Linked DNA regions of Medicago truncatula. The protein of the gene in region 2 binds, or shares a complex with, the protein of the main gene of each other region. Links are inferred from orthologs where the notes say so. Each region holds a gene or a part of one and is shown on either strand. Other genes may lie near its edges.

Region 1 (3,836 bases), on a different chromosome or scaffold from region 2:
ATCTGCTCAACTCGATGAAAAATAACCTTCATTTTAGTGCATGTGCATCATAATATGTAAGTTTATATCTCAGAACTCCTGGCCAAGTGTAGGAAAGGTTTAAGCCGAAGTGTGTATGAGCCTTTAAGGAACCAGAAAACTAACCTCTGCAAGGAGGCTGCAACACATAATCTTAGCATCTTATGGTGCATTTAGCTTCATTAGTAGCACTTATTAATCCTCAAAAGACAAAGTTCACTCAACCCAAAGTTTGATCAATGATAAGAGATCTAATGTTAATCTGATAAATTGTCCTAGAACTATAAAGCCTATGGAAGAAGGGAGGGAAATCTCAACAAAAATGTACAATCAAAACAAGAGATATATGTACAGCATAATTATGCATGAGTGGGGTCCAAAGGACAGCACCATGGTCAATCAAGTTTAAGATGAGGAAGTTGGCAGCGTATAGTCAACAACAGAACTGTGTCCAGCAGTCCGGCTATTATAGTGCTAACAGTGCCCATATTCATTGTTAATGAATAATGTACCATACAATTACCCTGTTGATCCAAAGAGTTAAGCGATTTAAGGCAAGATTATAGATCCTAACCTCAGATTTGACAGATACATTAGATAACCGATTATTGAACCAATACAGGTTATTTAGGATTAGGAACTGATTCACAGGTTTGAAGTTTAAGAACCATTAATACCGACTTTGGCTTATAGAAGCTTGGGAATATCCTACTTGAGAAAGAATTCTCTGTAGAAGACCTTTAAAGACTCGTATAAAAATTGAATTGGAGACTAATACCAGTAACTAACTAACAACTAACAACTTCCCAACTATTAACTTTAAACCACCATTGCAGGCCACTGTGACATAGCATGCTTATTGCCTGCAATAAGCAAATGAAGACCATATATCCATAAAGGCAGACCAGAAGTGATATTTCTAGCTAATAGAAGTGTAAGATTTAAATAAAGTACTTACAAAAAGATGTTCAATAAGTATAGTATTCTGTGTACAGAAATGTTCATTAGAATTTTAGTTAGCTTTTCTTAGTATTCTTATAACAGTTAAGTTATTCATTTATGGGTTAATGGTGCTTTACCCCCTGTAATATAGGTCATTTTTGGTTTTCCTGTAAAAAAAAAAAAAAAAATTTACAGGGGGGTAAATCAAAAAAAATATTTTACAGGGGGAAAACCAAAAATGACCTATATGACAGGGGGTAAAGCACCATTAACCCTTCATTTATTTAGTTTTGCATTTCTCTTTTAATACATGTTGGGCAGGTGATTAAACTTTTTTAAATCACATGGTTCCCTTGAGAATAGTGACAACAGCATGTATGTAGCATTCCATTTCCAGCAGTATTTGAAGATAAATTTAGATTCTTGTTCCCCAAGATTTATATTTGCAACTTTTATTAACAAAAGAGTACCTTGCGAATCAAATAGAGGAAATCCTCAACTGATAGCTTCCCCCTCTGTGATCCAATATCTTGTGCTTTATGTACCTTGACAAAAAAATAAATAAAAAATCATGTAAGGACAAAGGCCAACCACTCCGTGGCACTTAGACTAAGTTGAACAATTAGATACATTAGAATGATACTTACCAGTTCTGTAATATATTCTACAACGATGTCATCCATAAGCGCCACACTTTCAGGAAGTGGCTAATTCAAGTGGAAAACAAGAATAAGTAAAAGTTCAAATTAATATCATAATCTAAAGAATAAAAAATTTGCAAACATAGTATGAAAAATGAAAAAGTTAGAATGAGAATTACATTAGGATCATCTCCGAAGCCATACATCATGTGCTGCACTATAGAAACCAATGAAGAAGATTAGGAAGACAATAGAAATAACTACGCTAAAATTTAAAAACTTAGGAACAAAAATTATTACATTCTCTTTGGAAAACTCCTCTTCTGCGCTTGGATGAAGTGTCTGGTGGTTGTGAGGAAGCTGCTCTTTGTTTTGATGAGGTTCCGGCGGCAGAATTGCTCATTGTTGTTGGTTAATGCTTCCACTGTCATTTTAGTAACTATAGTTAGAGGAAAGAGGAAACTGAAAATACATAAAACTTGAATTTTTTGATAAATGTGTGCAGGTTCTGCTATGCTTCCTGTGCACACATAATCCTATAGAATAAAAACTGGAATGATGACTACACTTATAGTCATCAAAATGAATACAAATACAACCATCGTATCACTGACACCTCTGATTGAAGGCGTGTCGGGTGTCTGAAAACTACAAATGTGATTACATTCAATTAATTCACTTTTTTTATCACTAGTGTTGATGTGTCAGTGTCAAGATCATGTCTGTGTATGTGTCAGTGTCAAGATCGTGTCTGTGTATGTGTCAGTATTTCATGCAATACAACTAAACTTATTTATTTATGATAAAATTTCCAATTCAGGTATTAACCTTATTGAGGCATTTTGACAAACACCTTGCGAACAAACATGTTAAACAAGAAAACAAACAAAAGGGGTTATTTTTCTGCACCCCATTAGTTTCACAGAATTGTAACAACTAAAATATGCATTTCTCCATTATCTTCAATTATTGTTCTACCAAATCAAGCCCTAATTTGAGAACTTATTACCCTGTTTTCGTATTGAGTTATTATGGGTTATGATGATTTTGCTTCAACAATGAACAAAACAGGGACTACAATTAACCTAGCATTACACAGCAAAATTTGCATGTTTCAAGTAACTGAATCGAACGAATGAAAGAAAGAGCAGTGTGGGTTGGATCTTCTTACCTCGAAGAAACGGCTCCGTTTAGGGTGCGCTACGTTGATGGGTCTCCCACGCTGCGAGATGTGGATTAGCAACGTTTGTAGGTTGTTTTACTGTGCACTGCTTAAGCAATCATAAAAGCCATTTTTTTGTTGAGGGAATTATAAAAGCCACCTTTTTAATTATTTTGTATAAAGAAAAATTTGGAATATTTTCAATTATATTTTAATTTTACGCGGTTTTAATAAGGTTCTCATAAAACGTAAGTGGGCCTTAGTAAGATTTTCATAAAGAACTTGGTCTTAGTAGAATTTTCATAGAACATAAATAAGTAATTGTAGGAACCAAATTTTGTTACAAAATATAAATGCTTAGTAGGGGTGTAACAATTTGGATTGTTAATATTGTTGAATGTTTAAAAATGTTAAATAAAAATTACAAGTAATAACTAGGGTGTTCGCGGTGCGGTTTGATTCAGTTTTACGGTTAATACTTAAAAGTCATATGAACTGTAAGATAAACAGACATGCGTTTTGGTTTAGTTCGGTCGGCTTTTAAAATAAAATCTGAATCAAACCAAACCAAACCAATGTGGTTTGGGTTGGATCAATTGGTGTGGTTTTTCTCATACAATTTTTTGTTTTCAACGTTAAAATCAAGTTAAAAAGCTAGAACACAACATATTTTCAGCTATGTTTTCAACGATGTTTTAAATGTCATTCAACATTACAATTTCATTTTCATCTAACAATGTTCCCAACAACATAAACCAAATTAAAAAGATGGATAAAAAGTTATCCTATTTCGAAAGAAATTCTAAATACTAAGATTTTACATTATCTAAAAGTCCAAGTAACACAGATATATTTTTGAAATAAAAATCAAATAAGAAATTTAACAAAGCAAAAAATATGTCATTTTATAAAAGTTATCATTGAGGCTATGTGAGTGTTTGGTTTAGGTGACAAATGTTTAATTAGTGTTTATCTTATGTTGCGGTTTGATTTGGTTTGGTTCGGTTGATAAAATAAAAACCACAAACCAAACTAAACTATACAGTTGAGTAAGAAAGTGATCCAAATACATC
Region 2 (3,600 bases):
CCACCAACAAAATCACAATCACAACAACATATACAATCAAAGTTCAAAGTTCTAACATCAAAGTCCCAATTTTTTCTCTAAAATTTCATCTAGTATTTGTTACCTAAATACTCAAATTAAGAGTATCAATTTAAAATTACCTCGAGTTTAATAAATAAGAGATTTTTTTGGCGGTGTCCGGGATTCGAACCTCAGACCTTGCATATATTATGCATTATCCCTACCAACTGAGCTAAACTCACGCGGATACTTAATAAATAAGAGATGAATGCACACTTTTTTTTTTTGTTTGAGTTTAATAAATAAATGGCTTAAATATGCATTCTGTCCCTGTAATTAAAGTACTTTTTGATTTTCGTCCTTGTAAAAAAAAATTTAAAAACATCCTTGCAATTTTTTTTTTGTTTTAAAAACATCCATGACCCCACTTTTTTGCTGACATGGGATGACTTTGGCCAAATGGCAGTTGCCACATCATTAAAAATATTTTTTAAAATTAAAAAAACTGAAAATAAATAAAAAAATCATAAAAAAATTCCATTTTTTTTAAATGAAGAAAAAATTGGAAATTAGTTTTTTTTTTTAAATCTGGAAATAAATGTTTGAAAAATAAAATAAAAAATTATATAATCTCAAAATTTATAACTTTTGAAAATATAATTTTCAGTTTTATTTTCGAATTTTTTTAATTAAAAAAAAGAATTTTCAGAATTTTGAAAGAAAAAAAAATTTAGTTAAAAGTCAAAAATTTAATTTTCAGCTTTTTTAATTTTTTTTATGATTTTTAAATTTATTTTCAGATTTTTTTAATTTAAAAAAAAATTTTGAAAAAAAATAAATAACTAATTATGTGGTATGCCAGGTCAGTATCATGTGGCAAAAGTTGCATAGTCAGCAATTATAGTTGCACAGTCAGCAACTATCATATGGTCAAAACAATTTAATTTTTTGCAGGATATTTTTAAAATATTTTTTTATTTTACAAAAGAAAAAAATCAAAATGCGTCTGAAATTACATGGACGAATGCCATATTTAAAATAAATATATGAATAAACCATCTCAAAAAAAAGAAAGAAACACAGCAAAATCGCAAATCGCAAATCGCAAACCTGAACAAAGAGAATGAAGCAAGAAACAGCAACACCAGAATCGCAAATCGCAAGCAGGAAGAGAAGTAAGTAATTGATTTGTGTAAAAAAGATAAAATTCAGGTTTGAGATGCCTGACTTGCACAAAAGATAAGATTCTTTCTTCTCCTGTTCAAATTTCTGAATTTTCAAGTCTGTAACGGAGTCCGTAACGGCGTTCCGTATCGGCGATTTTCCTGTGATTTTTGTTCTCGACGTGAAAAGGTCCAAAAACGGTCACGGTGGCCGCTGATACCGTTTTGTAACGTCCGCAATTCCGGTACCGGTCCGTTTTTTGAAACCTTGATCCGCTCAACAACAACATGGGGTATGATTCGGATAATTCACAAGATGGGAGAAACGAAGGTAACTTTGTTTATTGAAGATTTTAGAATAGGAGTATCAGAAGTTAAAGGAACTAGGAGAAAGTGGAAGTGTATGAATGTGAAATTTAATTATAGTGTTTCTCAGATTCAATATTAATTTTTTTTTTTTTGAAGGAGCACTATTAGAAGCTAGAAATGTAATGAAACCCTAGTTTACTCAAATAAACAACTCTGGGCATCGAGTTAAGTAATGATAAATACGAATCAGGAGCAGTGGGACGGAGTTTTCGCTTCTAAATTTTGTGAAAATGATCGATTGATGTATCACCGAGAATCTAGATGTATTTTCTTTGCTTATAATGGATGTTTATGAAAGTTAAGCTTTCTAGTTGCACCGGCACTTTAAGAATAGGCTTAGTCATTAAGGGTAAATCTGGGAGATGGATTTTGGAGGGCTAAGTCTTATATTTTAGTATATATTTGAGAATTTAAAATAGGTGAAAGAATGCCATGGTATATGATCATATAACAATTCAATCACACTTTATTCATTTACATGACATATAACAATTCATTGCACTTCATTATTTTTTTAACATACTTTATAGCTTTCATAATTTAGAAGAGAAAACAAGTCCTCCCCTCCCCTCCAAAATCTCTCCCCTAAACAAACCCTAAAGTAGGATTGACTTGGTGGCATCATTGTTAATTGCTATGTGCTGAAATATGTCAAGCCGTTTGTCTGTGAGTTTGACGCGGTGTTGATTTATTTAGCTTCGTTTTTTTGGTTTATATAGTTCATTAACTCAGTATGTTCAATAATTTGGCTTGATAGATGATGAAGAAGAATATGAGGAGTCTGGCAAGGGTAATCATTTTCTCGGGTTCATGTTTGGAAATGTTGATAATTCTGGTGATCTCGATGTTGATTATCTTGATGAGGTAATTTAATGTGTCCTTTGATGTTTCTGTGAACTTGCTTGTTGAAATGTTTTGAGAACCAAGATCGGGCTTCTGCATGCATATATTTGTTATTTTGCTTGATTGATTCCCTACGCACCTTCTCAGTAGTTTCCTGAAATTTCTAAGCTATTGTAGTATCATCATGATTGGTATGCGGAGGGTTTTGAAGTTGCTAAACTTTTTTATATTAGAAGATTTAAAACCATTTTTACTGTTTCTGTAAAAGAAAAAACCATATTTACTGTTTTGAGATATATTATTTTTTGGGAGGAGGACAGGTTTTTACAAAAACCTTTATTGTAGCTTTTTGAAAAACAAAAAAGGATGCAGTTTGGACATATTGGCGCAGTATGGTTGTCTAAACTAAAGAATTACCTGAGATTCAACTTTGGAAGATTTGATTTAGTAGTGTGCATAGATTCTTATTTGTTAAGATCAAGTGGTTATTTTACAAGTCAAATTGATCTTTATTAAATAGGTTTAAGACTTTAGGCATCATAATTTTCAACTGAGTATAGAGTGCGATAAAAGCTTGCCTTTGTATGTGTACAACAAGATTGATGTTAATGCCTATACTTTGAACTACTTTTAATGATCTGTTGGAGGTTCCAGATCAATTATTCTTTGTAGGATCTGTTGGAGGTTCCAGGATAATTGTTCATTTAGGATTTGTTTTCTTATTTTGAAAAATAGAATTATAATTATTCTTAGAATTATAATTATTGTGGGATGCACATTTTCTTGTTCTGGATCGTTTATGCTTTCTTCATTTGTTTATGTGTTTTGGTCAAAAACAGTAAAATTGGTGCTAAATGAGAATTTTTCCTTTTAGGATGCAAAGGAGCATCTATCTGCATTGGCTGACAAGCTGGGTCCATCATTGACAGATATAGATGTAAGGATATCAAATTTATTATTATTGTATTTTTTTTTTACTGTACATATCTAGATATCATTATCAGGCTGTAGTGTTGAATTTATAAATCAAAATGCTATCTTCTGATTTGGTTAACAAGCGTTAACTGTTAATTTTTCTTTGTATTTTCATTGTCTCCACCTCTTCAATTTTCCTTGATAAGAATGTGCTCTGTTTGCAGTTGTCAGGAAAGTCACCACGAACACCGCCTGGCATTGTTGAACAAGGTGAAGTTGTCTGTCAGGAAAAACTATATCATGCAGTTTT

What was found. The genes of interacting proteins can lie anywhere in the genome.
Region 1: transcription initiation factor TFIID subunit 1 (region 2) and transcription initiation factor TFIID subunit 13 share a complex: the UniProt entries of both Arabidopsis thaliana proteins name them as parts of the TFIID complex. The link is inferred for Medicago truncatula from reciprocal best matches to the Arabidopsis thaliana genes HAF01 and TAF13.

What each region holds. Positions count from the first base shown.
Region 1 is NC_053042.1:42,954,392-42,958,227, reverse strand, and holds the start of transcription initiation factor TFIID subunit 13, read right to left. Parts: upstream 2,931-3,836; 5' UTR 2,773-2,930; intron 2,026-2,772; 5' UTR 2,005-2,025; coding exon 1,902-2,004; intron 1,819-1,901; coding exon 1,781-1,818; intron 1,668-1,780; coding exon 1,608-1,667; intron 1,506-1,607; coding exon 1,431-1,505; intron 882-1,430; exon of another isoform or gene 145-881; intron 1-144. UniProt on the Arabidopsis thaliana protein: TAFs are components of the transcription factor IID (TFIID) complex that is essential for mediating regulation of RNA polymerase transcription. May be involved in polycomb repressive complex 2 (PRC2) mediated repression.
Region 2 is NC_053046.1:11,046,298-11,049,897, reverse strand, and holds the start of transcription initiation factor TFIID subunit 1, read left to right. Parts: upstream 1-1,071; 5' UTR 1,072-1,123; coding exon 1,124-1,175; exon of another isoform or gene 1,176-1,451; coding exon of another isoform or gene 1,452-1,494; intron 1,495-2,289; coding exon 2,290-2,396; intron 2,397-3,249; coding exon 3,250-3,312; intron 3,313-3,514; coding exon 3,515-3,560; intron 3,561-3,600. UniProt on the Arabidopsis thaliana protein: TAFs are components of the transcription factor IID (TFIID) complex that is essential for mediating regulation of RNA polymerase transcription. Core scaffold of the TFIID complex.